2 linked regions of the Drosophila melanogaster genome follow. The protein of the gene in region 1 interacts with the protein of each later gene in a pairwise test. Each region holds a gene or a part of one and is shown on either strand. Other genes may lie near its edges.

Region 1 (16,714 bases):
CGGAGACGGCGCAAAACTTTATTTAATTTGAAAGCTAAAAATATAAAATAAATTTTCCACATTTGACTTTTACACCAACAATTTGGGCAGCGCCGGCAGTCGTAAACCTTCGCCGCCCACAATGTCAGTGGATCTGGAGAACCCGACGACTCGTAGCCCTCAACCCGTAAGCCGTAACCCGTAACCCGTAACCCGTAACCCGTAACCCTCGACCCGTAATCCGTATCCGTAACCGTATCCGTAACCGTTCCGAAATGGCAAACTGCGAGCGTAACCAAAAACCGTACGCAAAGTTACGATAATCGTTTATTGAAATGCAAATTTTTTGCTGATTTTGCCGCTTTTAGAAGTCAATTTGAGTTTGAGTTTGCTTTTTTGTTTCGTTATTTGTTTTGTGGGTGAGTTGTTTTTTTTTTTTATTAGCACTTGTATTATGATTGTCTCAGTCCCGAACCGAGAGACCCCGCAATAAAAAATCGCACAGCCATTTGGCAAGTGTAAATTTGCATATTAAGGAGCAAAGTCAACCCTGGGGTGCCATATGCTGAGTTGTCACCTGCTATTTGTATAATTGGACAGTTAGTTTGGCTTAACCCCATTGCAGCAAACATTACGATGGACGAACCCATACCGCTAACTTACCCCTTTACAAAATCGATCGATCCATCAGAAATCAAAACGCAAAATCTCATTAATTTGACAGGGCAAAAGGACTCGGATTTCGCCCTATCCGGCGCTCTGGGAAACGTAAATATTTTCGCTAGGGGGTAAGCAAGGATACAAAAAGATGCTGACGATAAGGTCCTGCCGGGGGGGGGGGGGGGGATGTGGAACTGATGCAACTGTCAAATTGTCAGGGACTCGGAGTTTTCAAAAACCAGATACTCTCATTCCGATTCGATGGGGTGGCTGCGGTTTTTGAGCGCGGTTCTTACTATTTACAAAACTGCAAGATACGACTGATAAGATAAATAATTGGAATATGAAGCTGGTAAGAGCAGCCCCCTTCACACCTCCTGGCCCCTCTTCCCAATGTTTGGGCCCTGGAATTAGACACACACACGCACACACACAGTTTCGAAAGTGTGACATGTAGGGGGGTGTGTGTGTGTATGTCTGCTCTCATTCTGTTTAATCACAGCAAATAATTAAATGTCCATTTCACAGGCGCAACGTAAGTGTCGCCGCAGCCCCCTCACCCCACCCCACCCCTCACCCTCGTCACCCATCGACCGTTCGATATATGTATATGGGATATAGAAGGGCCGAATCTGGATTCGAAATCTGAACCCGACCCCTCGACCTCGATGGCGATGCGACACGTGTGCGACAAGCGGCATTTGTATTAAGACTTAATTTAAGTGCTTATCACCCAAAACAAATCAACGAACCCCTCCCCCTCCCATCTGACATTTTGTATGAGTAACGCTCACCTAATGAAGTTATTAGACTCACGCACATACAATGCCCCAACCACCCACTCCCACCCACAATTACATATATGCTCCATTCCTGACCAGACATCGGCGATAACGTTGCGAGTAGTAGGGGCTTGATTTTGGCAGGATAGGGTATCTTCCCTAGATTCGGGTATATGGGTTCGGCCAAATGGTATGGCATAAAAATTCGCATGGGAGAAGCCAACAAGTGGGGAAACTATATTTTTCTAAAATAAATAAATACTTTTTCAATAGAAGTAAATATAGTTTTATAACAAATATATTTAAAAAGCAATCATTGAAGTAAAAATGATTGCATATTGAATTGGCTCAATATTCTCTTTTCACTTATTTACTAATAATATTTCCTAACCATAAAAACTTTTATTAAAAAAAAAAAAAAAACCCATATGTAGCGCACTTTCTACTATCGAAATGCCCAAAACTCGATCATTTTCAGTCGCGGCCGCCGAAAATAATTTCTCCTCCTCTCCGTGACAAATGGGACTTCAATAAATGTTTATGATTTGACAAATCAATCGGGCTACTAATGTCACAATTTCGGTGATTGTGCCGCATTTTGGTTATTATTTGGTAGCATTATTCCCATTCAGATTACCATTGCCATTCCCACTCCAAAATCCGATTTCCCATCCCATTCCCACGAAGACCCCTTTTCCGGAGTCACTTATTAATTTGGTTATTTGCTCGCTGTCCGTATTATTTATTCATAAATTTTATCAGCACAAATTAAAAACAAATTAGTCGACAGTAGGTAAATAATAATAAAGTGTAATAAAAATCAGTGGGACAGGAGACAGTCTGTCGATATGGGGCGATAAGCGGGACAACCCGAATCGAATCGAAACGAACTTGATTTGTTTAATCGAATGTGAAATGATTAAAACTTAATATACATTTAGTTTATTTTGCCCGATGCCACTCGATTTGCCTTATTTTTATTCCGGTTATTTTTCTTTTTTTCTTTTTTTTTTTTTTGTTTACCCCCCATTTCTCCATCCGCGCTTATTGTAATGACGTTTTTATTGTTTTTAATGCGTTTTTAATAATAATTGATTTGCGATTGCAACAATTTGATAAACCAAGTAAATGAAGCGAAGAGCCAAAACAAATTATGTCATTGCTGTCGGAATGAAACGACAAGTTGGCTTATTTTAATGGCGAACAGGCCATAATTAAGCAGCGAAACCATTTTAAATGTAATTCATTAAATTGGCTGCTGCTTTCCTTTCAATAAAGGTGACCTTGATCACTAGTTTCTGGCTTATATAACTATACATTTTACGAAGCTCTAAAAGTAGCCCAAAATACTTAAAAGTCAATTAAAAAATATTTACAGTAGCTCATTAGTATATTGCTGTATTAAATTTATACAGGAAATGTTAAAAAACAAATAAACAAAAAAAGAAACAAAACATTTTCAGTCATTAATAAACTCCCTAAAAACCAATAAATGCCATCTATGGTTCTGGAAAAATTTAATAGCTATTTATGTTTGCAGTCTGTAGAATTCTAACTGCTTTTGAATTATCATAAATGTCATTAAATATTTATATGACATTTTAATAATTTTTTATGTATACCTTCTTTAGTCCTGAGAAATTAGCATTTTCGGGTATCTGTATTACAATCTAAACTCATCTCTGTTATTCCACGTAGTAACGAAGCATTGAGACTTTCGTCTAATTTCCAATGACAATTAATTATGTTAAGTAAAACTACGGAAATTCCAGGAGAAGCAGGCGGAAATAATGGCCCAGCATAACAATCAAATCGCAACAAAGTGTCACAAGAAAATTTACTTTCCAACAACTTCTAACTGAGTGAAGAAGAAGACAAAGATTGGGTTGTCGCGGCGTGGTGGGGGGGGGAGGTCTGAGTGCCCCTATTAGCGGCGAAAAGTTGTTCGGGGAATAGAGCCGGGAAAACTTAATAGAAAATCAAGCGCAAGAAAATGGCGTCCGATAAGGCGATGAGGAAAATGCTGGAGGAGAAGCGAGAGGAAAAGCGGTGGGGAAAAGCGAGAGGAAAGTCAGGCAACCAACGCCCCGCAGCAAATTAAATGAAAATTTGTTTGTGTGTGGAAAAATCAAGTGAAAATTAATTGAATTGAGTTGAGTGCGGCTACGGCGTAATGGTTTTGGTTCGAGGAGCTTGAGTTCGGGAAAGCGGGTGGGTTATTATATAGATCTTCATGTGGCGATAGCCCACCGAAAACGAAAAAAGGAGAAGCTGCAAATGGAATTTCCTTTTGCCCTTTTCTTTTTTACCAATCACAAAGCAATGATGAAGGAGAGTCCAGAAAATGTTCAGGGGGCTTACGGGTGGAAGTTCAGTGGGGGGGTTTTGGGTGGTCACTCCTGCCCACTCTATCTCCCTCTCTCGCTCGCTCTCGCCTTTCATTACCCTGGCTAAAGTCGTGCTCCGTCCCTTTCCTGCAGCCATAATTCATTTTCCAAAGACGGCAGCTGCGCATTGAAACTGCCTCGGAAAAGTGGGTGTATTTATGGGGGGTTCCCGGTTCGCCCCCAACCATTCCCCCACATATTTAAGACATTATTACATTATAATCGCATAAAACAATCAATAAAATGTCAGTTTTTGCTCTGCTCTCGTAGGGAGCAGCGCAGCTCTTGCCCTCTCTTTCTTCTCTGTTTGAGGGAAAAGCACCCCCCTTCTACAACCCACAGCGATTCAGCCATGCACTTCTTTCTTCTCCATTCTTTGCCACTACTTCTCTTCTTCCTGCTCGCTAGCCGTCTTCTTCTTGCCAGGTCTTAAATTGGCCATAATCATATTAATATGAAATTTCCCCCTATTTTTTCTGTGGCCACGCCTGCCGCTGAACTATGTATGTCTCGCCCGCACTCGTGTTCACTCTCGGGCTTCTCTGACTATTGCGCTCTCTTTCGTTCGCGCTCTTTGGTGGGTTACGCTCGCACAGTCACACACACACACGCACACTGATTCACTTTAAATCAATTTTTTTGGCGTTTTTCATTTCATTTTCCCTGTTGCGCATTGCACGCTCTCGCTCGCTCTCTCTTCTCTTTTATCCCGCTCTCTCTCGCTCTTACCCGCCTTGCCTCTCTGTCGCACAATTTAGTCAGGCAGAAAAATACCATTATTGCATTGACCATTTGTGGGCCAGCGCGGGGTTAAGCGTGCGCCGCGGGGGGGTTAAGTGGGTGGTGGTGTGGGTGGTTCCAGTGGGTGGTGGGTTTTTGCGGACGGCGCCTTGGCATGTTTGTTAAGTGAAACCATTTTTCTTTTTATTGCCACGGCTGCGCTGTCGACGTCGACGCCGCCGCTGCTGCTGCTGCTGCTTCAGTCTCGTCTTCTTCTTCTTCTTCTTCTTCCGCTGGGCTCTCTGCCTTTTTTCGCTTTTCGTTTTGTTATTTCTCGCTTTGGCGCACATAAATTTGAACGTTAATGATTTTTGCTTGCAGTTTGCGCGCATGCGACCCTAAAACAACAAGAACAACAACTACAACAACGGCAGCTGACCGTCAAGTGTTGAAAATGAGCTTGTTGTTGTTGCCGCTGCGGCGGCTGCAGTAGTTGTTGTTGTTGTTGTTGCTGCAGCAGCAGGTGTCGCCATCTCACTTTTTAGCACAGACTCAAACCACGAGCAACCAACCAACATTGGTGACACTTTTTTCCCCATTTTTCCCACTGACTGTAGTGGTGCCCCCATCTCACATACACACATATGCGCATTTTTATTAAACAAACACGAAGAAGACGAAACGAACTCCATATTTTTCATTTGTACGCGCCTGTCGCGCCATCCCGCTCGCACCGACTTCGCGATTGTCTCCACAAAACTCCACAACTCGCTGGCCGTAATTTTAATTCGAATCAATTTGTTTGTCGCCGCCGCTGCACTGAGTTCAGCCTTTTGCCCAGTGGGCCGCCGATCCGCTCCACTGTGCACGCTACGCCACATTTCGCTTGCTACGTTCCACTGTGCGGCCAGGATTGTCGCCTTTTTTTTCGGTGTGTGTGTGTTTTAGTGCCTTGTGAATTGAGTCCCAACAAAAAAAAAAAAAAATCGAAGTTAACCAAAAGAGCCTGCTGATTAAAGCGAAGTTAGCGCTAACCCGAAGTAAACACTATCCTGCAGTTAACGTAAGGCTAACCAAGAGCTATGAGGGAATATCAGAAAGAAAGCAAGAAACAATCGAGTCAGTGTTGAATTGAGTTATCGAAATCATTGAGCTAGTGAGGTGACAATATTAAAGGAAAATGAACTAGTTTAATTTGCAGTGTCAGCAAAAGCATTGAATTGTGTGTGTTCATTGCAAACGAGTTAATCGCATAAATTGGGAGCTAATCAAAAGCTAAGACGAAAATGGATCAGCTAATACAACAGCTGCAACAGGCAGCTGCTGCTCGGGGACAAGTCCAACATCCCCATGGTTCATCCGCTTTGCAACTTTACGCGGCAGCAGCGGCTGTCAACATGCAAGTGAGCGGCTGGTCATCCGTTCTCAACTTGTCCATGGATGCCCCAAATCCGGAAATTAGTCCCAATTCCGTAACCAATTCGTCCTCCGTGTATATGATCCGCCAAATGGCGCTGATACAGCAAGCCAGAGTGGCCGCCGCAGCAGTGGCAATGCAGCAGCAGCAGCAACAGCAAAGGGATCTCAATCGGGAGCTTGGCATGGATCCGCACAGTGAGCAGCGTATTAAGTTGGACTCAGTGTCACCCACGCACAACATCCACGCGGGTAAGTTTGATTAATTCATAGGCGATATTACTAGCTTATTCACATTGATTGATTCGATTTCTATGTCAATATTAACTAATATTCAATGGAAAATAATGAATAGAACATAGCTCTGGTTAATAAAAGCATGCACAAAAAACCACTCTATAAACTACGCATTTCGCATTTGGCCAAAATACACGAAATTGCTGGCCAAATTTAATTACGTGAATAATCAACAAGCCGCAACAACAATTACAAGCTGGCAAAAACACACAAAGCTACACACACACGCACACACACACACGCACACACACACACATTGAAAGTCCTGGCCTGCGGGCAAATAATGTTGTTGATTTTGTTGTTGTTGCTGCCGCCTGTTGTTGATTAAAAATTGATCAAAAAACATAAAAACACACGAATTATGCATGCGCGTATTTAAATGCGTGTGTTGCGCGTGTGTGGGTGGCGCTGAATTGATTAAAAGGAGCAATTCGATTGAAATTTTATTGGTAAATTGAATAAAGTGCACGGCGGCATAAAGGCCCCGGCCGGAAAACTTGTTTTCCATTCCAATTCGGCCATTTGGAAAATGCCATTATCTGCGCAAGCTCGACGCAAAGTTAATGAATGTAATGAATGAACAAATGAGTGGGCCACAGGACATCCGGGCATAAAATGTGGGTGGTCATAAATAACGCCATTTCGGAAGTGTCCTTGCCGGGAATTACCGCTAAACGTAGGTGATTAGATGAGATCGGCTAAAATGTAGAGGACATTTTGGAATAATTACTAAAAACTTTAATGGGCTTTTATACATACTATGTTGGTGATGATATTTAATTCATTTCTGATGAGATAATCCTTTTGCCTTTAAATTAGCATATTGTAGACAAGGTAAGTTGAAATAGTGGGAAAATGTTTGACTTACTAAAAAAATGTTGAATGTCATAATAAAATGGGATAATATATTATAGGCCAGTTCAAGCAAATATTTTTCTAAGAAGTTACGCTCTTAATAAGCTGTACTTTTAAAAAAACCAACCAAAACCATTTCCAAAAAAAAAAACATCAACATTTTCTTCAAAAAAACAAAGCACTACGTTTTGTAAGCAAATATTATTTTTATATATTTTAGTTTTATCTTACACTGATTAAATATATTGCTAAGCCTTGAGATCAATGAACAAAGTGGAATCACAATTTGTGAATGGAACGAGGCACCTGGCATCGGGAAATGGGAAATGGTGCATGGGAAATGAGCAGTGACAGGTGAAGTCTTGCTTTCCTTTCGGTGTCTTTTCCTCCTTGTTTTTTTATATATTTTTTTTGCCCAGGTCACGCCCAATCCGGGAAACGCCTGTATTTCCTATTTCGTACCTCGCCCTTTGTCTTTGGTCTTTTGGCAATTGAACCACTTTTGAGGCGCATCCAATTCCGATTCCGAATTGGCCGTCTTGCTGGGCCTCATCCTCCTACTTTTCTCGACGACGACGGGAAATTAGCTGCCATTAGTCATTTTTATTGTTTTCGGTCGCGGCCCCGAAACTACAGAATACAAAAAGAATATATGTATGTAACATGGAGTAAGGCTGAAGGCTGGCAACAACCCGGTTGGCAGCGCTGTTGAGCAGCAACATGATTGTCGGAAATCGAAGCTATCGACAATCAGTCATCGAAGGAACGATCGCAAGGCAGCAGTGGAGTCGAGTGGAAGTCAGCGTTGCAGTCAGTCGAGTTCTCAGCAGCAGTCGTTCGGTCACAAACTAAGAATACTTTACATAATTACCGCATTTAGAATTAAACTAATAATTAAATTAATAATAAACAATAATAATAAACAATCTTACATGGGGGCTCGTCCAGTCCTAAATCGGTTATATGAAGGTGCAGTTGTTTAAAGAAAAAAGACATTGTTGTGTGCGTGGGTATAGTCTTTAAAAGTTGTAAAGTTGTGGCTATATCTATTGCATTTAAAGTTGGAAAAATCAGTTGTACAGATTTTGTTTGAACACAAGTCGGTAAAAGTCGGGAAAGCTGCTAGAGAGAACTGATAAAGTTGAAATTGTCGTGTGCGTGGATTTAGTCTTTAAAGTTGTAAAGTTATGGCTACGTCTACTGCATTGAAAGTTGAAAAAATCGATTGAACTCATACAGACTCAAGTCGTTTTGCTGTTGTGGAATTTAAAACAATTAAATTGCAAAGGTGGTGAAATTCGTTTCTAACGAAAATCAAAATTTGTCTTTTAACCGGTGGCGCCGTCTGCAAAATCGACTACCGTCGCGCCGTTAGAACATTGTCGTTGTTTGCTGGTGTTAGTGCCTTGTCGCGGAATGTTCACACGCACACCACCTACAAATAAAAAACTTAACACCGACCAAATACAAGCAATTCTAGAGAACGAAAGCGAGGACGAAAGCAGAAAAGAAAAAATGAACGAAGAAGATCAAAAGTTGACGCCTGTAGGAGAAGCAGAGGCAAAGAAGCAGAATAAAGACGCTAGTGCTAAAGTCGAAGAGAAATTTGAACAAATGATGAATACTCTAACCCAGAGCATGTTGGCAAAATCTAAACAAGAGGGGCAAGTAATTATCGCTGCAGAAAAATTTGAAAAAGTTGTAAGTGACTGTGATGGCAAATCAATTCCTATTAAAAAATGGTTTGAAATTTTTGAGAAAAATGCCGAGGCATATGAACTTTCGGAGAAACAAAAATATGTTCAAGCCAGAAGTAAGATGATTGGATCAGCAGAACTTTTCTTAGAATCTGAATGTGTCAGTGGATACACTGAACTCAAAGAGTTACTAATTGAAGAATTTTCAGGCAGCTATAATAGCGCCGTTATTCACAAAAAGTTGCAAGACAGGAAGAAGAAGAGGGAGGAAACTCTACACGACTATTTGTTACAAATGAAGAAAATAGCAGCCTTAGGTGAAGTTGAAACAGTTGCTTTGATAACTCATATCGTAAACGGCCTCGACATTAAAAAGGAGTATAAGGGTGCTATGCTCCGTTGTAAAACTCTTAAGGAATTAAAGCAAGAATTCGAAATCTACGAGAGTCTGAATATTGTTGACAAGCCGAATATTCAACCAAAACCAAAGCAAATTACACAAGGTGTAAAAGCAGATCACTGCTTCAACTGTGGTTCGAGGGAACACAAACGAAAGGATTGTACACTTCCTACCAAATGTTTCAGCTGTAATCAAGAGGGCCATATCTCAAGCAAGTGTCCGGAAAAAGTAAACAGCATGCGCATTCACGTTGATAGGGCACGAACAAAGCCAGTAATCATAAATGGGATTATCATCAACTGTCTGGTGGACACAGGATCAGATGTGACCATAATTAAAGAAGCTATATTCAAGAAGATGAAAGATGTTGATTTAAACCGCACTGCAACAGTATTGCGAGGTTTGGGAAATGCCTCAACACAGCCGATTGGATGCTTCAGAGCATTAATCAAGACCGACCAGGTGGAAGCAAGCCACAACGTTTTAGTCGTCCACGATTCTAAATTCAGTTGCGATGGAATAGTGGGACACGATTTTATCAGCAAGTTTCGTCTTATCTGTAGTGCAGAAGGCTATACTTTTCTTGACCTGGAAGCAGATAAAAAACAAGCGGCCATTGTGCATACGCCACCGCGCAGCGCGAATTCGCACAACGAGATGGAAACGCTGCGCAAACAGCTGAACGATTACAAATCGGAGATCAATCAGCTAAAGAACGTGGTGCAGATGCTGTCCAGCGAGAACACGCAGCTCAAGTCCAAGTTCTCGAGCGCATCGAACAACAGCGTGTACGATGAGCCACTTCGCATTGATCTGAGCTTGAGCAGTCCGGATACAGAGCACGAGCCTCTGTCGCTACCTGAAGGTGGGACTGTCAATGGGGAAAGCGGCTCCTCCAATGATTCATCAAATCAGTCGACCATCAAGCGTCCAGCCAGCATGTACGAGCGTCGTTTGGTACCCAATGTGGCCAAGGGCAATACGGACATACGAAATACGACCAGCATGTACCAAATGGCTGGGGATGGCAAACCTTTTGGTGAGGAGGTCAAAGTGCGCTCTGACTTGGTCACACGCCGTCTTAAGGAGCTCATAAGAGCTATGCAGCCAGTGCCAGAGGATCGGTTACTGGAACTGCTCCAAGAAGAAGTGGTCTGTCAATTCAGCGAGGACCGCTATGAGATGAGACAGCTGGTAAAACGCAACATCGAGCAGGCGCAGAAGGACTACAAGCGCAATTACGACAAAAAGCGCCGAGCTGAATACAAATACAAAGCAGGTGATCTGGTTGCAATTAAAAGGACCCAATTTGTAGCTGGCCGCAAGATGGCAAGCGGGTATTTAGGTCCATACGAAGTCACAGGGGTCAAAGACAATGGCAGATATGACGTTAAAAAAGCAGCAAACGTCGAAGGACCCAATGTCACATCCACCAGCTGTGACAACATGAAGTTGTGGAAGTACATAGCCGAAAATGCAGACCTATTGTCATCCGGGTCGGATGATGATGATCAGGAGGGCCGAATGTAACATGGAGTAAGGCTGAAGGCTGGCAACAACCCGGTTGGCAGCGCTGTTGAGCAGCAACATGATTGTCGGAAATCGAAGCTATCGACAATCAGTCATCGAAGGAACGATCGCAAGGCAGCAGTGGAGTCGAGTGGAAGTCAGCGTTGCAGTCAGTCGAGTTCTCAGCAGCAGTCGTTCGGTCACAAACTAAGAATACTTTACATAATTACCGCATTTAGAATTAAACTAATAATTAAATTAATAATAAACAATAATAATAAACAATCTTACATGTATATATGTATAAAAAAGAGAGCTGGCACAAGTCGGGGAAAACGGGGCACAGAAAACTGTAAGGAGAGCGATGGAAAACCAGCGGGGAAAGTCGAGGGGGGAAGACCTGTGGAAATTGGGCAGCCAAACAATTTGTGGCAGCAATTTTTCTTAACATTTTTCGTGAACCCAAAGAGAGGTAGAGAAAAAAAAGGTCGAACTCGAAGCGAAATGTCTTAATTATTTTTGGTAGCTCCCTGCCCGCCGCTGCCAGTACCGAAAACCGCGTGCCTAAACATACAATTTTCGTTTACGACATTTTAATTAAGTTTTCCCCATTTTCCTCTGCTTGTGGAAATTGGTCAAATTAATAAGAACGCCATTGGCACACCCCGTCAGGTTGCCTTTATTCGGTTTCTCTGTTTCTTGTGTTTTCTAACATTTTTCGGGCCCAAACATAAAGGGGCCCCCTCCCGACCAGCGATCATCAGTCCATCGGTGATGAATGAATTGAGTTGTTGGCTCCCAATACCAGGTGATTCCAGGTGATCTCCGGTGATCTCCGCTGATCCGCTCCAGCCGATGGCCGCTCATTAGACAGCGCTGACCGCGAGCGCTTCTGGTAATTGCCATCATTTCAAGGGACTTCAAGGGGTTTTCGATGGAGCTGAACTACCGGGAGAACTCAACTGAACTACTAGACCCATAGATTAATTGTGATTGTGTCGAGTGGAAAATAAAGATGGAAACAGGTACAGCTGCACGGCGAGAAACTGAGGCTTCCATGCAATGGGTTTATAAAGGCATGAAATGATTTTTAAATTTGATTAGTTTTCTCAGTTCTTAAAGTATTTTTCATCTCTAAATATTTTATTAATATATTATTATATTAAAATAACAAGCCATAGAATAAATCAATATAATTGGTAATCAGTTCTATATAGTTATCAAATTATTTCCTAAGAAGCCTCCTTTTATTTATTATTTATTCTCCAGCATTTTTGCCAAGTGTAGATGATAGATGCTCCGCATGGACGAATGAATGAGTGCTGATCCGAAGATTTCTCTCGCCCAAAAGTGAAAGATTTAGTGAGTGGATGGGAAGGGAGTAGAGCGGAGTGGAGGGGAGGGGCCGAAAACAAGACTGGAAGCCCGAAGAGCCGAAAAGCGAACAACGCAACCCATCAACATCAGCGACTAATGGGACTCTTGTTCGCATCGGAGAAAAGGGGGCAATTGGAAGGGATAGCTATAGGGTATGGGGGGTATGGCGTATTGGTCCAATTTCCACCGAGATTTTCCTTGGCTAATTAATAAAACGCTCAGTGGGCTCGTTGCACTAATTGGTCCGATCGTCGGGCCCCTGATGAGCTTTTGACGAGCTCTCCGCTTTATTTATTTATTTTCTTTTTTTTTTGTTTTGCGCTTGGCCCGGGAAATGATAATTATTTAAGTGGGACCCCATTTAGGCGGTTGCCAAAAGCGAACGAGAAACAAGAAATCGGAGCACTATCAAAAATAAAGCAAAGCGCCCTTATATCGCTCTAAATACTGCAACCCATCCATGTCGTCCTTGCATTTGCATTAGCATTTGCATAATTTATGAGGGCGACAACCCTGGCCGGTGGCCATAAATTCAGCAGAATGGCAGCCAGCCAAAATAGAAGCCAACATCTTTTTTCTAGGCCGACTGCGAATGCATTTTGGCAGCTCTTTTTACCCACTACCAAGTGGCGCGTCTCTCTGGTCCCTCCAATTCCAATATTTGCAACTGCCTTTATTTTGTGCCCCACCCCTTTGGGTGGACTAATAAAAATCAAAAGGCGTTTTGTTCTCTAAACTTAAATTGAAAACACTTTAGGCCAGTCCTGCCCCAAAAAACCGTTCCCCTGCCAAAAAAAAAACGAAAAAAAAACTAAAGGATAAACACTTCAAGGGGCGGATTTGGCTTAGTGCACCCCTTTCCTCACCCCAACTCCCCCCCCCCTGCTAGGCCCACGCCGCCCCTGCTTTTCGTCGTTATACCGTTGTTGAATTACCGTTTAGCACAAAGATGGCGGCGCTAGATAAAAACATTTTTTGGCCAAATGGGAAAAAAAGCAGTGCTTGTAGGTAGGGCAAAAAAAAAAAAAAATTTAAAGGGGTATTTTGTTTCGGCCACTTGACTTGTACCGTTCGTATTCTTCTTTGTTTTGTGTTCTTTGGCCATTTACAGTTTTGAGGTGTAATTTTGTTGTTGTCTTAAATACCTTTACAAGTGCCACGCCCTCGAAACGCCCTCGAAGTGTACAACTCATTTGGCGATTAGCAAATTAGGGTTAGACGCCCCAAAAATGGTAAATTGGTAAATTTATTGTTGGCCGCGAAGGGTTTTCCCTGGCTCGCTTATTATTTAATAACTGCTTGCGGTGGGCGGAGGTCAGTGGGAAGTGATATAGAATGGCCAATCAATCAGCCGAGCCCCCACTAATTTATCCCCTACTCATTTCGCCACTTTGTTGGCAATCTGTGTCGACAAGTGTCAAGAAATCAAGGCAATTACACGACCCAAAACCACAAAATAAATAGCAGGCGGGCGGTTTTTGGGTGGAAAATATCAAAGAGCGACAAAACGCTAAGCGGAAAAGCCGCAAGCACGTAGAATCGAGCGTTTTACCGCTAAAGCTAAGCTCACCACCACCCACTTTCCATCCAAAAGAAAAAAAAAAAAACCCCTAATATCCTGAAACGTTCTGTAACACCACCGAGAAGCACCCACACACGTCCCGATTTTTATGTTATCTCCATGGACTTGAGCCCAACAAGCGAACTCCCCTCTCGACGACATGAAAATTATGTAAAACTTAAGTAAAAGATGAGCTCGTCAAGAATTATGACACCCCAGGGAATCCAAGGATGTGGATGTATGCGTGTTCGGTGGTAGCAACCCCTAGAATCAAGTGGGTAAGGATGATTTCGTCGGTTTACATCGAAGTGTGTATACCCTACGGCATGAAAAATGTATCTTCTGCTAACGAATAATACAACAGTTATCTACATAGTAGTATTTTATACAATATGTTGGTATAGAATAAAGAAAACCATGTATATAGAAAAAAATGCTGATATTGGATGCATTAAGAGAGCATTAAAACATCTTATAGGGCACACTGAAAAATCACAGTATCCCATCCTGGCAAACAACTAAAAACTGTTGACCGAACAACAAAATCCAGCGGCATTTAAGTGGCAGCTTCGTTTGGGTGAAAACCACCCACGCACGCACACAATCACACACATGCCACACAAACAAAGGACACAAAAATGAAAACCCCACTCGGATAACCCTCGACGCTTGTTGGATTCTCTCGTAAATGCCTCATGTGCGTTTATATTGAAACAGATTGCCCTGCCATTCCATTCCATTCCCGTTCATTCCCGTTCATTCCATTCTATTCCCCGCTGATCTCTATGTGTGTGTGTGTGTGTGTGTATCCTTGCGACACTCTATCCGTAGCTGTGTGTGTGCGTGCCACTTGTTTCGGTCTCCTTTGTGAAATTGTTGCGGTTTGCAATTTGCTGCAAATGACACCGAGTTGGTGGTGCGATTCTTCCTTCTGCCTCGACATACTTGTCCTCCTGCCCCTTTTCATCCTTCCCCCTTCCACTTCCTCCCGCTCTCTTTGCCCGTCTGCAAAGACGACGATGGCGGCCATATTGCGTATACGCCATGTGGTTCGCCTCCCGTTTTCGCGCTGCGTGTGTGTGCGTATGGTGCGCATCAACCACCCGAAAGGAAAATGGAGCGGAAAGGGGAGAAGTACGAGCAATTGCCTACCCTGGTTACGCCCCCGCCACTGCCCACTACCTCCCCCCCTCCCGTTCGACGGCTTTCCCTGGCCAGAATAGGAAAAATCGTGAAAAGGAAGTGTGTTGGAGTGATGGGGGGGGGAGGGTGTGGGGAGTGAAGAAGAAAAGCCGCACGACACTTCGGGGCTAATACAATTTATACACTTGGCTTGGCGTCGTTTCGGTTTGGCTCAGTGCCATGGTCCCAAAAAAGTGGGAGTTACGGGGGCCAAAGAACTGGGGATTGGCAGGACCCCTCTCTCTCTCCCTCTCTTCGCCTCTATCTCCCTCTGTCTGTCGCTCTTTTCGCCCAACTCGATTGTCAGCCAGTTTTACGGTTGGATCAATGTTTATGCCATTATACAAACACGAGTACATACATATGCATGGATATATAGTAGATGTACGTATATATATATATGTATATGTATGTATATGTGTATATACAGGAGCAGGAGCAAAGGCACACCGAGGCATTTATCCTTGTTATACACCGCCCCGTCTACTGATTTCCCCCCGTCACCCTAAGCTTCTTTCTCCGTCGGATTTCGTTTGTAAATTGGAAAATTTTGGTTTTCGTGTGCTGCACTGAAGACATTTCGAATCGACTGCTGCACTACTTATTGTTTATTAAAAATGCCTTCTTCCTTGTAATCTAATTTTCGCTAAAAGGATCTAAGAAGTTAAATCTTGTATTGAAAAGGGTACTTTTATGAAGGCAATGCATTTTCAAGGCGTTCATCTTATTAAAGTTTGTTCAAAACATATAACATTTCAATAGGAATATTACGAAATTACACAGTGTTGGTTACGAATAAATGCTAATCCTGTAGAATTCATAGTCTTAGTGGATCTATTAATGCCATACATATATGCAAATGGACAATCGGATTCGTATAATGGGTAAACTCTAGTCAACGCTTAAGTATCAACATCCTAGTCTCGATTTGGCTGTAGTCACAATATTTCTTATATCCAAGAGCGTTCCGCTCGTTGGCTGTCTACCCTGTTGCCCCCCGCCCGATTCACCTAGTCCCCGGATCCCCGGATCCGCAAACCTCGTAACCCCCAAGACCGTACGTTCTATAGCTCCACCTCAAGCTGCCTCCACAACGTTGTCGTTGTATCTAATAAACCTTAAATGAAGGCAATATTGTGGGGTTGTTTTGGGTTAATATTGAAACGATAAAATTGAATTGAGCCGTATGCCTAGGGAGGTTTTCCAGTGGTCTGTGGGGTAGAGGCGGGATGGCGGGGTGGCGGGAGGTGCAGCAGACGTCCCTGAAAGTTTTCCCTATTTCTCAATTGTTGTTGTTTTTTGTCTGTGCTTTGCTTTTGCTATTCGGCTTTCCTTGCTTTTTCCACGCTTTGCTTTGGCTTTCGGTGAGTTGTAATGACACTTTTAGCTGACTTTGAAGCCATTTACCCGTCCCGAGTGTGAGTTCATTTCCGTTTCCGTTCGTGCCTTGCGAGGCCCCACTGTTTATTGTTCTCCACGAGTCGATGCGGTTTTTAATCAATTTTTGGGACACGATTGACTTGGCATTACTTTGGGTTCGAGCAAACGTGCGTGACTTTGCGCGAGTGAAATGTGCACTTAATTGTATTAAACAGTAACTTTCACCCATTTCATTTTCACTGCTAGGCAAGGCAGGCTAAAAGATAAACCAAATGTAAAGTTATTCCACTCAAATTGATTGGAAATAGAAAGCACTTTAAACCAATGTTATGACCTTAAAAGAATATTAAAAATTAAATAATAGCTAAATAATAGTTTAAAAGGCAGTGACAGCTTGCTGTTATGCTTTAGAATATAAATTACTTATTCAAATTCTACAAAAAAAACTTATGTATATATATGAAACAATAACCTTTCGCTTTAATCAAATGGTTAGGAAAAAAGAAAGTGAA
Region 2 (16,659 bases), on another chromosome or scaffold:
TAAAATAAAATCAAATTTGTCAAGTAGACCACTTCAAGTCTATCAAGAGAATGATAAAGCGTTTTTATATTTGCATATTTTCCTGATTAAAAAATAATATGAAATGCATTTGTATTGCAGCACGGAAAGGCAACCGCAGCTGATTTGATTGGATTATCCCAAGATTTTTGATAAGAAAGACATTTGTCATTGACTTGAATAAATGTTTATTTGTATTGGTAGAAGATGCGTTCCCTTTGCGGTTAAATTAGTTCTAGTTTAGAGCTGTGTATGAAGTTATCATTATTATTTTGGGTTGGCAAATGCTGCTGGATTGTTCTGGTTCCGATTATGATGTTCTTCGGCTCGTCGCCGGTGCGCCGGTCCGCAACCCCCTGCGATTTGGTTTGGGGTATACACATTGGGCATCCTGTGCGCCTATTCGACCTTGAGCAGCTCGACGTCGAAGGTGAGGGTGGAGTTGGGCGGAATGACGCCGGGGTGGCCACGGCTACCGTAGGCATAGTCCGGCGAGCAAATCAGCTTGGCGCGCTGGCCGACGCTCAACTGGGCAACTCCCTCATCCCAGCCACGGATGACCTCGCCCTTGCCGATGGTGAACTTGAATGGCTTGTTGCGGTCGCGCGACGAATCGAACTGCGTGGAATTCAAGGCGGATCATTAGCTGGGGATGGCGAGGATCGGGATTCGTACTCACCTTGGTGCCATCGTCCAGGGTGCCGGTGTAGTGGACCGTGACCTTTTGGCCATTCTTGGGATAGGTGCTGCCTGCGGGCGGGGAATGCAAAAATGGATGTGTGTGAGCGGGACGACCATATTGTCGCAGGTATTTCCGAATTGTGCATTGCGAAAATGCACTAAATAGGTTAGAAAGGCCGGTAGTTTACGGCATTTCTTGCGGATTCTAACCCAATCATTGGATACTCACCATCACCAGGAGCAATTGGAACTACTTGTACGCCCATTTCGATTAGTTTTTTTCTGGCAAATTACCGAGCGGAAAATAAGCACGTTGATTTCAGTTCGTCGCGTCGCCGAATGACAGCTAGCGGTGGGCGATGGTCGGTGAGCGGAAACTATCGCACACATCAATTTGATTAATTATCAAAACCAATTGCTTTCCGAGTTATCGATAAGGACGTTTTTGTATTTTGGCGCGTCCGTTTGAATTGTTTACTATGAACCGAAAGAATAAAGCAGTGCAAGATCTTGCCTCTTATCTTAAAGTCCGAGACACATTGGTCATTGGTCAACTTGTATAGGTCCCCCAAAAGTGTGCTAAGTATTAAATAAACATAACTATAGTTATATAATTTATTTAAATTCCTCGACTCAGTTATTTGTTATCAACTGTCACAGTTTGATTGCCATCACTCGCAGCTTTGTGTGTGGGGCTGCCGGTGTGAAGATCACTCGTCCTTCATCGTCCTTATAGTCGGCGTAGTCGATGGAATAGATGCACTCCATGCCCAAGGCCCCCTTCTGGCGAGCGGAGTAGAAGCTAGTGCAGAAGGCCATCATAAGGGGGAAACCATTCGATCGGCCCAGCTCCATCAGGGTGGCGGCCAGGCGGGAGCCCAGGCCCTTGCCCCTCTTCCACGAGGCCACGCTGGTCACGTGGGAGTAGAGCGCCTTCGGGATGTCGTAGCGCTCAAACAGATTGACTTCGCGCTTGGCCTTCATTAGTAAATGATACATTCGACCCCAAGCGTTATCCTCCACATTCTCGAGCTTCAAATTCAATGTTCCTGCATTCACATTATCGGGATAACTGGCACATGCCAGAACTAGACCCACAATCCGGCCACCATCGTTTTCATCCAGTGCCAAAAGGCTGGTGCCCTCGGCGATTATCGACTGGTTGAAGGCGTCGTTGATCTCCTCGTTCTGCTGGTGAACGGGTTCGCCGCTGGACTGGCACAGAGGCTCCGATGTGTAGTACTCAGCCTCCATATAGGCTTTTACCTGTGCATAATCCTCTGGGCGCATGATGCGTATCGTGACGCCATCTATTGTCGTGGGAGTCATCGCGATCCGGAGCTAATTCGTTCTATATGCTTTTCTTAAGACAGAAGAGGACGCCGATGTGTACATGGCTTTTATACTTCGGCGCTTATCACTGATAATGGCTTATCATATTTATAGATTGTTTCTGTTTGGCGAAGAGAAAGTTGTTTCCAACGGCTTTTGGTTTTATTTTTAATGAAGTGCCAGACTGACTTATCCTTTTAGTAATAAACATTTTTCGAATATGGTTTTCTGACCCAAAATCTTTGAGGATAAATACATCGAGTGGAAAGTGATTACTTAATATCAGATTTTGTAATTATTGCAAGGTCATGTGTCGATAAATACATAATCAACACAATATCTGAACAATAAAGTAGACCGTTCTACATTTTATTACTTTATTTGATCCATATGGACTTGCGTTTCCAGCTCGACGACCTTTATCAATTGCCAAGGCCAAAGTAATAATTAATTAATAAATTATTTTAATTTTTACATTTTTGAGGCCAAGACCCGAATGTGGGTATGGGGCGCTGGTGGATTATATATCGGCCGACCCAACTCGTCCTTGTAGTCAGCATAGGCCACCGAATGGATGCACTCACATCCCGCTTTCATCGCCGACCGGGAGGAGTAGTGATTGGTTCCGCTGGTGATGAACAGAGTGTGTCCCCGCAGGCGACCCAATTTAAAGAGACATTTGGAAAGTATGACCAAGATACCTCTTTGCCTCATTGAGGGGTGAACGGAGATGACCAGCAGACTCAGGTAGGAGGAGACTCCGAAGCGTTCGAAAATGTTGGCTTCGCGCTCCACTTTGGCTATAAATTTCCTGCTGCGACCCAAAGCATTTGGCTCCATTTCCTCGGCTTCCTTGTGCTGCTTGGCCATTTCGATGGGATCCATCGTCTCCGCCACGGCAATGCCAACCAGTAGTCCCCCGTTGTTATCGTCCAGTGCCACTATGGATAGTCCCTGCCTGATCACCGCCAGGTATTGCCTATCCACTTCCTCCTCATGCTGCAGGTGAATGGGCTCCTCGAGACCCATTCCCATGGGCTCGTCGTAGTGAAAGTAGTCCGTCATGAAGGTTTTCACTCTTGGATAGTCGTCCTCCTTCATAACTCGTACGGTTATGCCATCATTTTGACTAAGAATCATGTTGGACTGAGCAGCGATGTTTGGTTTCCCGGCTTGGTATACTATGGTTCATTCTACATGACTGCAGGAGCCTTTTAAAGAAACCGAACTGAGTTATCTACAAATACAAGTTCAAGAACTTCCATTGTTTGCTATATTCAAGGTGGTGCTCAAATAAGATAATACGTTGCATTTCCAAAAAAATGAACATGTTGGTATTAATCTTTTAATCTACCGATAGGTCTAATCTACAATAAGATACAGTTTCTTTAAGAGGAAGAGGAAAAAATTAAAGCAAGAGGTAATCACAATTCTTCTGCATCAGCAAAATGCAGTATTCATGAAGAATCTTACGTGCTTTCGGATTCGATTCGTGCCTGTCCGGATGACAGGATGGCGCGTTCTTCTGATCCATTGTCCATCCAGAAAATCTCCTCGTCTGTCCAATTCCGCATAATTTCAGATGGAGCGAGCACGTTTGCTTCTGCAAATGGCCAGATGTTGTTAACTATTGGCAGCAGCGATACTGTGTTTCCCTGTCCAGAACTCGATACGTTTGGATATATTTGAGAAATTTTCAAACATCTTCATAATAACCTGTCAAACAAAAGAGAATATCAGCATAACTGGCACGTGGTTTTAATAATGCCTAAAATTGGTTTGCCAATTTGATAATGATAACATTTTTCGAGCATAACTTTTCTTATTTTATTAGCATTCGCATTCAATTAACATATAAATTAACATATTAAATACAGAATTGCTTTAAAGGTTATTCCATTATCATACATCAGTAAGAAATCTATAGTAAAATGTAAATTTTTTTTATTTCCAGTGTAGGTCATTTGCATATGTGTAGTATGTTGATAGATTCGAAACTCACGTGAATACAGAATCAAATTACTTGGTCAATGAATATTATTATGAACTGTTTTTTGTTAGCTTTTACCATATTTGTTAACAGGCTGATATATTTTTTAGAGTGCAAATAAAGTAGTTACTTAACGAAACATTTTTATTATTATAAATTATATATTATTATAAACTGTTATCAAAATCATCGCTGTTACAAAATAAGAATTATAATATTGCTTGCATATTATAATTCGATATATCTATTTCTCTCAGTGCAAATTTATGCGAACAAAATATAGTTTTATAATGCGTGCCTCCATTGACTTCGTCACATATAAAAAGAGACGATTCTCCGGTGACTCCCAGTATCAAAAATAAAGCTATGAAGAAGTTATTTGCGGGACTCGCATGCATCCTTTTGGTGGCATTACTACTTTGGTAGGTAAAAAAAAAACGGATTACAGTGAATTGCTTCTGATATATTCTGATGATTTGTGACAGGAGTTATAAATACTTTTCCGGACAAAAAACCACAACACCGCTCCTGCCGATGGTTATCAACACCTGGCCCTTTGCGGAAGCCAAAAAGGAGGCGTGGCGACTGCTCAATGTGAAAAAGGGCGGACTTGGACAGACGAGAAGCGCCGTTGTGGGCGGTATATCCATGTGCGAAAAGCTGCAGTGCGCCAAGACTGTTGGCTACGGCGGCAATCCCGACGAGCGCGGAGATACATCCCTGGATGCCTTGCTTATGGATGGAGGCACCATGGAGGTGGGTGCTGTGGGCGATCTGCGACGGATCAGAAGTGCCATCAAGGTGGCGCAACATGTCTTGGAACACACGCTTCACACCCTGCTAGTTGGCGATGGGGCCGATGAGTTCGCCAATGCCATGGGATTGCAGTACGAATCACTAAACTCTGAGGACAACATAGAGTCATTGAAAAATTGGACGAGGCACAACTGCCAGCCAAACTTTTGGCGAAATGTCCACCCGGATCCGAGGACCTCCTGCGGTCCCTACCAGCCCTTGGTCACATGGGATCCGAATGCCAAGCAATCGGATCGGATCGAAATTGGTCCCGATAACCACGACACCATCACCATGGCCGCCATCGATGAGGAGGGTCACATCCATGTGGGCACCTCCACCAACGGACTACGCTACACGCTGCCCGGACGTGTTGGCGACGCCTCGATTCCCGGCTCCGCTGCCTATGCGGATAACGAAGTGGGCGCCGCTGTTACCACTGGAGATGGAGACATCCTTATGCGCTTCCTGCCCTCTCTCCTGGCGGTGGAGGCCATGCGGGCGGGCAAAACACCGGCGGAGGCAGTCGAGTTGGTCATCCAGCGAATCCAGAAGCACGTAAAGTATTTCGAAGTCGCCGTTATCGTTGCAAACCGGCTTGGAACGTACGCAGTCAGGTGCCATGGTACTGGCATGGCCAGGGATAATGGAAAGTTTGCCTATATGGTCAGTAGTCCGGGACAACCGGTGCGCACGGAATCGGTTGAGTGCTCAGCGAATCCTGAGAAATCTCCTTCCGAAGACGATAGACAAGTTATTTGGTAATGTTTACTAATTTTGTTAGACTATAAATCTTATAATTGTTATGCACTTAGCCATTTTAAAATGTATCTGAAACCAGGAGTAGAAGAATTACGATTAGCTCCTGCATAAAAGAAAATGTGCCTCAGATTAGACCTATCGGTAGATTAAAAGGCTGAATAAAAGCATGTTCATTTTTTGCAAATGGCACGCAAACATTATCTATCATATCATATCTGAATATAGAAAATAATAAAAGTTATTATGCTTGTATTTGTTGATAACTCAGTTCGGTTTCTTTAAAAGGCTCCTGCAGTCATGTAGAATGAACCATAGTTTATCAAGCCGGGAAACCAAACATCGCTGCTCAGTCCAACATGATTCTTAGTCAAAATGATGGCATAACCGTACGAGTTATGAAGGAGGACGACTATCCAAGAGTGAAAACCTTCATGACGGACTACTTTCACTACGACGAGCCCATGGGAATGGGTCTCGAGGAGCCCATTCACCTGCAGCATGAGGAGGAAGTGGATAGGCAATACCTGGCGGTGATCAGGCAGGGACTATCCATAGTGGCACTCGACGATAACAACGGGGGACTACTGGTTGGCATTGCCGTGGCGGAGACGATGGATCCCATCGAAATGGCCAAGCAGCACAAGGAAGCCGAGGAAATGGAGCCAAATGCTTTGGGTCGCAGCAGGAAATTTATAGCCAAAGTGGAGCGCGAAGCCAACATTTTCGAACGCTTCGGAGTCTCCTCCTACCTGAGTCTGCTGGTCATCTCCGTTCACCCCTCAATGAGGCAAAGAGGTATCTTGGTCATACTTTCCAAATGTCTCTTTAAATTGGGTCGCCTGCGGGGACTCCGTCTGTTCATCGGCAGTGGCACCAATCACTACTCCTCCCGATCGGCGATGAAAGCGGGATGTGAGTGCATCCATTCGGTGGCCTATGCTGACTACAAGGACGAACAGGGCCGACCGATATATAATCCACCAGCGCCCCATACCCACATTCGGGTCTTGGCCTCAAAACTTTAATAAATTAGTACGAATTCGCAAAACTAAGTAACAAATAGGGGTGTTTTCTTATATCGCAAGAACCTTTGGACTTGACAATTGATAGAGACCGCCCAGGTGAAAATTCATGTCCAGATGGAGCTAATAAAGTAATAAAATTTAAGGGCTCTACTTTATTGTGCACAGATTGTGTTGATTATGAATTTATCAAGTACGAAGTAAGCACTTTTCACTGCTATGTAAACCACTTGATGATTGCAAACGGCATAAGCCTCTTGTGGGCTCACAATTGTACTTTTTCTTTAAAGTCGTCAAATTTATGTTTCTCGTTTCGAAAGTGCGTTGTATTTTATTTCTGTAGTGTATTGTTTTGTGGTACATATAGAAATTTTGTTTGATTTGTGTTTCCCTTAAATGATATGCTCACTAATGTGATCAATTTTAGAAAGTACATATGTATTATATTCGCTAAGTTATATGTATTAAATAAAGCAATTAGAAAATGTCGAATCCAAAATTGAATTATCTTAATTTAAAACTAACTGAAATAACCGGTTGGTGCTGCCAGACCTTTAAAGTGTCCGGTGGTATATTTTCTCAATGACAACAACGGTCACACTGCATTCTGCTCTTCAAAAAATATTTACTAGATAAAACACTTGGAATTCGGCGGATTTGAGTGTAGTTTTTCGACTCACGCATCTAATGCGGCACAGTAATGACATAAGGATCAAGTGCAATATATTGAGTGTGCCATTTGTTATCCAGTAGCGCCCCTATTACAGCAGGATGCAGGATGCCACGGCTCCGGATCCGGAACCCAGCAGCACCAACGGCAATTGCTCCGTTGAACATGACAATCGGCAGGATCAGGATGAGAACCACGTAGGCGCCGAGCGGGAAGCGGAGGCCAACGATGCCAACTGCACCGTTTGTGGTGCCGCCAAGGCATCGGCGCTTTTGGATCTGCGCTCCAACCATGTAATGCAACGTCGCCTAAGTCGCGACTGGAAGATTCATGTGGGTACTCAAGACATCATCCAATTCCGACATCCATGCCAACTCTTTGAATTCGAATTCTTTAATTATCAGGCAGATGTAATCCGATCCACATTGAAGGCCATTTGCGTGGAGTGCGTGTGCAAGCTGAACATGCACTCGGAGGTCACTCGATCCCTGATGCAGCGCATGCAACGGCTGCAGCGTTCCGGTGGTGAAACCACCAAGGTGACAACCACCACGACATCGCCCAGCCAGCACAGTCCACCCATTGCTGATGCAGAGGTGTCGACCACCTTGATTGAGAGTCAGGAGGAGGTGGCCCACAGCGGGCAGAGCGTTCGCTCGCGTTCTTCCTGCTCCGTGCTGGAAGTATACCTCGCTCAACAACCATATTCTCCATCGGCCAAGGAAACGGAAGAGAAGCATGCGGAGGGCTGGAAATGGCGAACACGGCTGGAGTGTCACGAATGTGGTCGGGCCTATTTTCGACGGGATTACTACGCCCAGCACTTGAGGCGCTGCTCCAAAACGCGCAGGAAGCAGCCACGTCCATCGCGCGTCAAATGCCGGGTACTAAATGAGGCGAGCTATGATGAAGAGGCGCCATCCAGAGCCATCCGATCATCGCGCATATACTACTGCCGGCATTGCGACGCAGAGTTTGAGACCTTAATCAGTAAGCGACAGCATGAGCGAATGAAGCATCAGCAGCGATATCCGTGTGATTTGTGCGAAGCCCAGTTGGACACGAAGTACGAGTGGGAAATGCATCACACCATCTGCCAGGCCAAGCAGGAGGTTAGTATGCATGTATCCCCCAAAAATGATATACTTATATGTTCCGTTTTTTCTGTACAGGCCTTAGCAATTGTGGAGCAGCAGGAAGCTGGCCAAACCGTTATGACTTCCCGGGTGCCAAGGGCATGCTCGATGCGCTCTCGCTCACGGGCATGCTCCGAAGCCTGGGATAGGTACGACATGGATGAGGAGGAAGAGGACGAAGAAGATGAAGAGATAGAAAGCGGTGGGGAGGAACTAGAAGAGGGCGAGGAGGATGCCATGTACGCGCGACGTATGAACTTTACTGGCGACTGGATTGTTAACCACAGCCGCAGCAATAGCAACAGCGCTGGTAATCTCTCCCTTTTGTACGGAGACTACGGAATGGTGGAAACGCACATGACCACCGACAAGGAGTATGGTAAATATCCTTTGAAATATGTTATCGTTCTGTATCAAAAAGTCTTGCTATCCGTTTTCAGATCTTTACCTACTGGACCTGCTCAAGACGCAGGTGCGACTGAAATCATTCACTTGTTTCACGCCTGACTGTGGCTACCAGACGGACACCCTAGTGGCTCTAATGAAGCACGACTACATGGAGCACTGGAAGATGAGCTGGTTTTACTGTCATAAGTGCGGCGATGTGTTCACCAGCAAGTAAGTGGGGCAGCGATCTTTTTAAAGAAAGTAGTTTATTGGTTTATTTGTGTTCCTTGCAGGGTCTTTTTAGACTACCATATGCATCTCCAGAACCGCGGCCTCTACATCTGCCATAAGTGCCGCGAAGAGTTTGAGTTGCAGCACCAGTTAGATCGGCATTTCCAGCTGCACAGGAAAGGGATCAATTACCACTGCAATTTCTGCCGATTGGAGTTTCTTAGCGAGGCTAAGCTGCTGGCCCATTGCAAAAAGCTGGGGCACAGTCCCAACGACGAGCCCCTCATCAGCATTGATCGTTCGCTCTCGATTGTCAACTGCCATGTGCCACGGTCATCGGACTATTCTCGAATAGTCAAGTCGTACGAAGAACGTGAGTTCTATATTCCGCGAATACCGATGCCCTCCACGCAGCCCATGCACTTGCCTCAACATAAACCCTTTCGTTTCGCTATCGGAATATGTGATTTCGAGGAGCGAAATCCGAACTGCGTTGGATGTCACTGATTACGAACTTGTTGTGAGCTCCATTCTTCGTCTGCAATATATTCGAATAGGTCATGCTACACGTTACTAGTAGAGTGTAAAGTGCTAATATGCACACTCTTTGGTCGAGCAACGAGGAACTCGACTATTGCGTTCTCTTTGTATAATCAACTCTAGTAAATTTAGATATGCATATTTTTTATAATAAATATTGTGCCGTTGTCAGATAAAAGAGCATTAGTTATTTGATTCTTCAGTCAGTTTATTTCGCGTTCCTTCGCTGATCTTTACATGATGAAAGTCGGGTGTCTAGGGATAATTTAAATTGCAGTACAATTCGGAATACTTAAAACTAGATTTATAATTCGCATGTGTATGTGTGGACTATGATGCTATGTACAGAGTTACTCGTATAACAATTTAACATTATCGACCGTACGACTATATAAGTTGCATAAGTGTAGGTGTTTATAATTAAAGAGCCTATTGCATTGCCCCCAGCGCATGTTTTCATGTGTGTTGTTTTTTGTTTTGTTTTGTTTTGTCTTATAAATAGTTTAGTTTTAGTGCTTACGTTTAGTTGATGGCCTTAGAACTAATCAATTTGCGGGAAACTTACAGATTTTCAACTAAGGATCTCGATTCGTATTTAAGTTTAGTTTATAATTTTATTTTATTTTATTTTAATGCGTGTGCTCTTGCTCGTGGTACGTTTGAGTCGGTGTCAGTCTTATAAATTCAACCCAGGACGATTTAAATATCTCGCTAACAGGATAACATGAGGCTAACAAAGATACGCTATTTGAGGTAGTTCTGTTCAAGTGGGATCTTCTGGTTTCTCTTCGATTCGAAAATCATAAAAGTAAGGCCACGTACATGCATGGTCGTTATAAATAATCTAGTGCTAATAATTTTTAAAACAAATCACTGGCATTTAACAAAGTTGTACAAGGTGTAGCTAACCCGCTAACCCATTCTGATGGGAGCCTCTACTGCTCTGTCCTTAGATAGCTCCTCCACCGCCTCCCGATTCCGCCTTCAGTCTTATGTAAGTGGGTTTACATATGCACACATATCTTAGTTTTGTCAGTTGGCCGGCATCTGGGATGGTGGAGTAACACTGTTTTAAGGCCTACAACTAGCTGGTTTCCAAAGATGGCCTACGAGTGCCTAGCCTAAGGGTACCTATCTGTATTCTATGCTGTCCTATCCTACTATCTATATCCTAACATTTCTGTTTTTTTTAGGCACAAAGTGATGCTGACAACAATTTAGTTTAGTGTGTGGGTTTGATTTTCGATGGGTGCCAGGTGCTGGTGCGGATGATTCCCACAACGACTGGGATGAGGTTTCTTCGTTTAAAGCTTCACCAACGCTGGTCGGCGCCTGAGTCGCCGATGGTAAGTAAGGAAAGTAACACAAGGATGGATCTAATTGGGTTTGAATAATAGGAGTTGCTATCTAAGCCTGGCCTACTCCAAGGAGTCTAGGCTGTCCGTGGCATACTGCCAGGCCATGGTGAGCGTTAATCAGTCGGCCCGGGCCTGAGCGTCCTCGCCTTCCATCAGCTCCCTCTTCAGACCAATGGGAACGAACTGCGGCGAGGATGGGTAGTCCACGTGATCCTTGCCATTGGCGGACGCACTGCTGGCGTGCATAATCACGCCGGCACCAGCCTCGGTTGGCTGGGGCGAGTAGGGCGATGGTGGCCGCTCCTTTCTAGCCAGCGAGAGATCCTCCACGTGCTCTTGCTCATGATCCTCCTCATCGTCCGCATCTTCACGTTCGTCCTGGTCGCGTTCCCTCTTGATAATATTTTGCTCGTGCTTCTCCATCTCCAAGTCCATGGCCTCCTGCTCGTGCGGGTAGTGACGACCTTGCGGACTTGGCGACCGCATGCCATGGCCATTGGAGCGCTGGTCCATCTCCGCTGGACTGCTGGAAAGGCGATTGGCAGCGGCATGGGCCGCTGCGGCCAGAGCCATGGCATGGAGAGCCTCTCGGCCGGCCATGTCACCACCACGGTTCTCCAGAGCCTGCTGAAGGAAAGCGTGATCCAGAAGGGCCGCAGCTGAGGGTGGAATGGTGGGCGGCATGCCGTGATGGGCGGGCACATGGTCCACCTTCTGATCACGCTTCACCTCCGAGTGATGGCCATGTCCATGACCGTAGTTGTGTGCAGCAGCGGCTGCCGCAGCGGAATAGGAGAAACCTTGTGAGGACTCAGCTCCCGGCGGGCTGCGCTTGGGTGTGCGGTGTGTGCCACGTCCTGTGGTGATGTTCAGCTTACGGACTTTGTCGTAGAGAGTGCGACTGGGCAGGCCGTACTTCCTGCTCGCCTGCAGGGCACTCATTCCCTCCCTCACCGCTTGGATGGCGCACATCATATCCGCTCTGGTATACTGCTTGTATCGCTTCCATTCCGGCTTCTTGCCGCCAGACTGACCGGTCTCCTCTTCAAAGGAACGATCTGTGTAGGGCGAAAGTGGTTCCTTGTCGCCGCCGTAGTCGGAGCCATTGAAGCTGTGGTTGCGCTCGCCTCCACTTACTCCCAATCCGGCAGGAAGCTGGGTGTTCTGGTGGGGATGAGTGGGCGTCTTCTCTCCATTGGCATTCATTGGTCCGGGTTGCGAGGAGTCAGCGGGATTAGCTTGGGCCAGAACGTTTCTCAGGATGGGTGTGTCGCGGTTTCCACTCAGAAGCATGCTTGAAATGGCCGACAGCTTCTTGCGCTTGAGAGGATTCATATCGGCGGCTGATTCGTAGACAGAGTTCAACATGGCGGCGGCGGCGGAGGGTGTCAGTGGCCACTGTCCACCGGCTTCTCCCGCTCCCGAGGCCGCCGAGTGGGGTGTGGCCTGGGTGGGGGTCAGTGGAGCCTCACCGGCCGGAATCTGACTAGCCGACATCGGCTGCTGCTGAGGATAATGGCTGTAGCCCGGCTGATAGCCAAACTGCGGCGGCGGTGGTGGCGAGCAGCTGCTCGAGATGGCGGCACTGGGCGAGATGTGCGTGGATGTGGAGATCACGGATGAGGAGTGGTTGGATGCTGATCCGTTCTGGGGCTTGGCTCCGCCAGCTCCCGAACTGGAGGTGGGCGTGACGCTGGCATGATTGAACTTCATCAAGTTGTCGTACAGACCCTTGACCTGAAGCTCCTTGGCTGTGCGCAGAATCTCCGGCTCCTGGCTCTTGGTCACCGTCGTCTCGCCCGTGTACATGTACTGCAGCAAAGCGGCAATCTCGAAGCCCTTCACTCCCGGCAGTATGATGCTGCAGTGGTCCTGCGGCACATCCTTCAGGATGTGCTGGAAATACGGTGAATTGGCCGCCAGAACCACGCGATGGGCCTGGAACTGTTCATCGTCCACCACCAGGCTGCAGTCCACATAGCTGCCCACCTCGTGCAGGGCGTGTAGAATCTGTACCAGATTGGTCTGGTGGTTGTTCCAGCGGAGGCAGTACGTCTGTCCCACCTCGCCACTGCTGGCTACCGGCGCCGTTGGGCCGCCCATCTCCTGGTCACGCTCCGTTTCGCGATCCCTGTCCTGCTTGGCCTCCCGCGGAATGTGGTGGTGGCTCACCCTTGAATGGTGGCTGTGGTGGTGCTGGTTCGCTGGCTGGTCGGGCTCCTCGTCCGGAGCGGGATCGCTGCTATTGCTGCTGTTGTTGTACACACCGTTCAGACTGGTGAAGGCGGCGCTCAGCAGCGTCGGCGAGTAGAAGGATAGATGCTTCCTGACCTTGAGCGCCAGTTTAAGGCCTACGGATCACCTGGTTGCCTGGTTAACGGAAACGAAAGAGAACAAGCGGAGAAAATGCCAATTAGTACGAGTTCTAGAGCCTCGGCCAAGCGATTAGATTTTGGCAAATGTCAGAGGGTTGGTGTGGAACATTTCAAATTTCGCATGGGTTGCTAAAATCAACAGGAAGCACACACAGAACTTCGTACACACACAAACAACAGATTTGCCCAAAGTGGGCAAATGGAAGTCAGGTGTGCGAAACTGGGGATGGTCGCTCCTCCAGTGCCACCATTTCTCTTTTTTTTTTTTTGGCGGAAAATCTTGCTTGTAAAATTTATGCCCTTCGCCACCCCCCGAAGTTTTATGCGCCGTAAAAAAGTGAAAGTGAAATGGGGAAGTTGGCGGTGGGTGGCAGTGGTGGTGTCGAGGAAAAACGTGTAGGAAAAATGGGGGAAAAAAATATGCAAACATCCCTCGAAAGATGTGTGCGCGTATTTTTCCGGCTGCTTTTCGCGCGTTTTACTTTTACGCATACATATACATATTCAAATCTATATGTATAATGTCAGGCTTTCTTTTTTTTTTACCGCCACCGCTGCCTGGAATCGGGCAATGGAAATGGGAAGGCAAGGAAAATAAGGGAAAATGTGGCTGAAAAACTTGCAATAATTTTCATTCATTTCGTGTACAAAAAAGGAAGGGGAGCGGGGGCGAAAGGCAGGCCATATGCCTATGCCCTTGTCCTTGGCATGACTTCAAATTCGGTACTCGGGTTGTGGTCGAGTTTCAGATTCAAGTGGACGCCATATGCTGGCATCCTGGCGTCATGTGTTGGCCATTCGTCAAGGAGTTCGCATTCCAAATTGCGGCCATGTGGCGTGTGTGAATCTCCAGTTACCAACAGGTAGAGTGGCGCAGGATCCCCCCATAAACGATAATGGCAATCAGACAACAAGAGGAAAATGTCAAAGGGGCGAGGCACCGTAAAAAATAAACCAGAAGGTACATATATGGCAAAAAAAAAATGAGGATAGAAATGCGGACAATCAAACAAAGGCGGCAAACAAACGATCGCATTATTGTCTGCGGAAAATGCGCAAGAGATCATCAATTGTTGTTGTCTAGCCATTGTCTAGCCGACAGGATAATGGGCAACCTGCGGAGATCCCAATCCCATTCCCATTCCAGTTCCCACTCCCGTTTTGCGCAACATCGAGCAGGTAAGCGATTTTGCAGCAAGAAGCAAGCGCATTAGATGCGGTTATAATAATGCCATAAAGGCGACGCCTCAACGCCTCGAAGATCGCGCATTGCGTATACGCCACGATCGCCAAATGATCGAAAGCTCGCGCCGGAAAGCGGAAAGCTTTGGCCAACTTTTGCTAACAGAGCTCGCCAACAGCGGCCACCATTTTGTGAGAAAAACGTTTAATTAAAATTATCACAAACGTCATTGAGGCGAATGCACTTGGGAACCGGTTTCGCTGGGCTTAGGGTTTCCAGTTTCTATTTTTTTATTTTTTTTGACACGTATTGGGCTTGAAAATTGCGAAATTACACCAAAAATAATTCGGAAATTTAAAGGTCTGCGAAGAGCACAGTGCTACTAAGTTATAAATTTGGACTTTTAATAACGGCAAATAAAAAGAAACCATCTTAGGGTTACTGCCTAAACGAAAACACATTTTCAGTTATATTCTGAGTTCGCGTTTAAATTAGGTAAAATAAATTATTTATAACCTTACCACGAAATAATGAAAATGCCGCAGGTGGGGCACAATATCGATGGTGCTAAGTGGCCAATTTAGTTGCTGGTACACTTTAAAGGGTATTTCGCATTCAGTTGTCCACTGTTGTTCCCTTGATTTGTTTAAATGTTGTAGCTTTCGGAGTTTTTCGATGTTAAAAATGTTTTCACATTCTCAGAACAGAGTTTTTTTTTAGTTGGTATTTTTCCTGGTTGTTCGCTCTTCTGCTCCACACACACACACAATTGCACAAAACACGAGATGTTGCCAAAAATATTAGATATTTTCCAAGAAACTGCGACACGTTTAGCGTTTATACTTGAGTTTTCCGCTCGCCTTGTGATTTTGATGTTTTTGAGAAAATTTTGAGAGTTTTGCGTGCACGTTGTTGCAGATTCGAGCGCTCAAACTTGAATAAAACTGCCACGGTTTTCGTGTGCAGCAAGTCATTGAAGACCAAATTTCCCGAGCGCTGCCAGAGCGGGATGGAGCGATGCACAGAGGGTGAGAGCGAGAGAGCGGCGAGAAAACTGTTCGAATGCGAAGGGGAAACAGGAAAACTGTGCTACGAATCCACCCTCGCGCCCTCTCTTTCGCGCAGTTGCAGTTTTGTGCGTGAGCGAGATTGCGATTGCGACTGCTTGTGTGCGTGTGCGTGCGTGCATGTGTGTGCGAGCTGCATATATGGTTGCTGCCATTGGATGCAGTGCGTGCGAGGGAGAGGGGCATAGCTGTGTCCCAGTCTTTTGCCTTTTTGGCGACTGCATTTTTTACGTTTCTTTTTTTTTTCTTTCTTTGGTTAATACTCGAATTTAGGCAGGTTGCGTGAAAAACTGGTCTCGGATCTTTCGTTGTTCGATCTTTACTATTTTATTCGACACCCTTTCTCCTCGTTTCGCTTCTCCGCGGCATTCGTCGCCATTTTGAACTGCCTGTTTTGATACTTTGTCGCCTTGTCTTTTCGTATATTTTCAATTTTTCTCGCTTTACTCTCTTTCAACGTTTTTTTCTGCCACAACTTCTTAGTTATGCAAATTTGAATTTAAGTGTAGAGATAAAGTAACGACCTTCGGCAATCAATGCACAATTGAATGCAGTTTTGGCCTGCAACGCGATTAATTTGCATATGTCTCGACCTTCGACCCCTCGGACGATAACCCTTCGATTTCTTGATTTTTTATGCAAATTGCAAATTAACGGTCGCTAGGGGATGCGTTTTGAAAGGGTAACATATAACATACTGCCAATTTGGGATTTCGTTATTATCATGCAAATTATGCGAGGCACCTGTAAAATGTCTTAGGGTATCTCGTTTTTTATTTTTCTAAAATAGCATTCTTTGGGGTTGAGGTTTTCAAGGAGACCTTAGGTAATGGACTTTCTAAAGAACAAAAGCTCTGCAGCCCTTTTTAACATTATAAAACTTGCGATAACAGTGAGTTCAAATGAGAATCGAATACAAAATACTGCATTGTAAAAAAATTAATTACAAAATTAAGTTTTTTTTTTTAATTTTTCATAAAAATCAAGTTCACAAAAAGAACATTTCCCTATTTGCAATAGTCATCTGTACCAGCTGTACCCCACACATTTCTGGCCACAGCTCAACTTACATTTTTTAATTGTTGATCATTAGGTTTTTCATCGTCGTTTCC

What was found.
Region 2: the proteins of OdsH (region 1) and CG11906 interact in a two-hybrid assay, tested with the Drosophila melanogaster proteins (one large-scale study listed by BioGRID).

The regions. Positions count from the first base shown.
Region 1 is NC_004354.4:17,785,253-17,801,966, forward strand, and holds the start of OdsH (Ods-site homeobox), read left to right. Parts: upstream 1-5,757; 5' UTR 5,758-5,814; coding exon 5,815-6,196; intron 6,197-16,714.
Region 2 is NT_033778.4:19,274,495-19,291,153, reverse strand, and holds CG11906 (uncharacterized protein), read left to right. Parts: upstream 1-7,192; 5' UTR 7,193-7,371; coding exon 7,372-7,602; intron 7,603-7,674; coding exon 7,675-8,382; intron 8,383-8,442; coding exon 8,443-8,785; intron 8,786-8,846; coding exon 8,847-9,024; intron 9,025-9,086; coding exon 9,087-9,531; 3' UTR 9,532-9,736; downstream 9,737-16,659. Other genes in the region: Fkbp12 (FK506-binding protein 12kD), read right to left, coding at 418-636, 698-768, 929-965; AANATL4 (arylalkylamine N-acetyltransferase-like 4), read right to left, coding at 1,354-2,028; AANATL6 (arylalkylamine N-acetyltransferase-like 6), read right to left, coding at 2,503-3,171; CG10474 (uncharacterized protein), read left to right, coding at 4,556-5,581; AANATL5 (arylalkylamine N-acetyltransferase-like 5), read left to right, coding at 5,935-6,603; rib (ribbon), read right to left, coding at 11,040-13,025.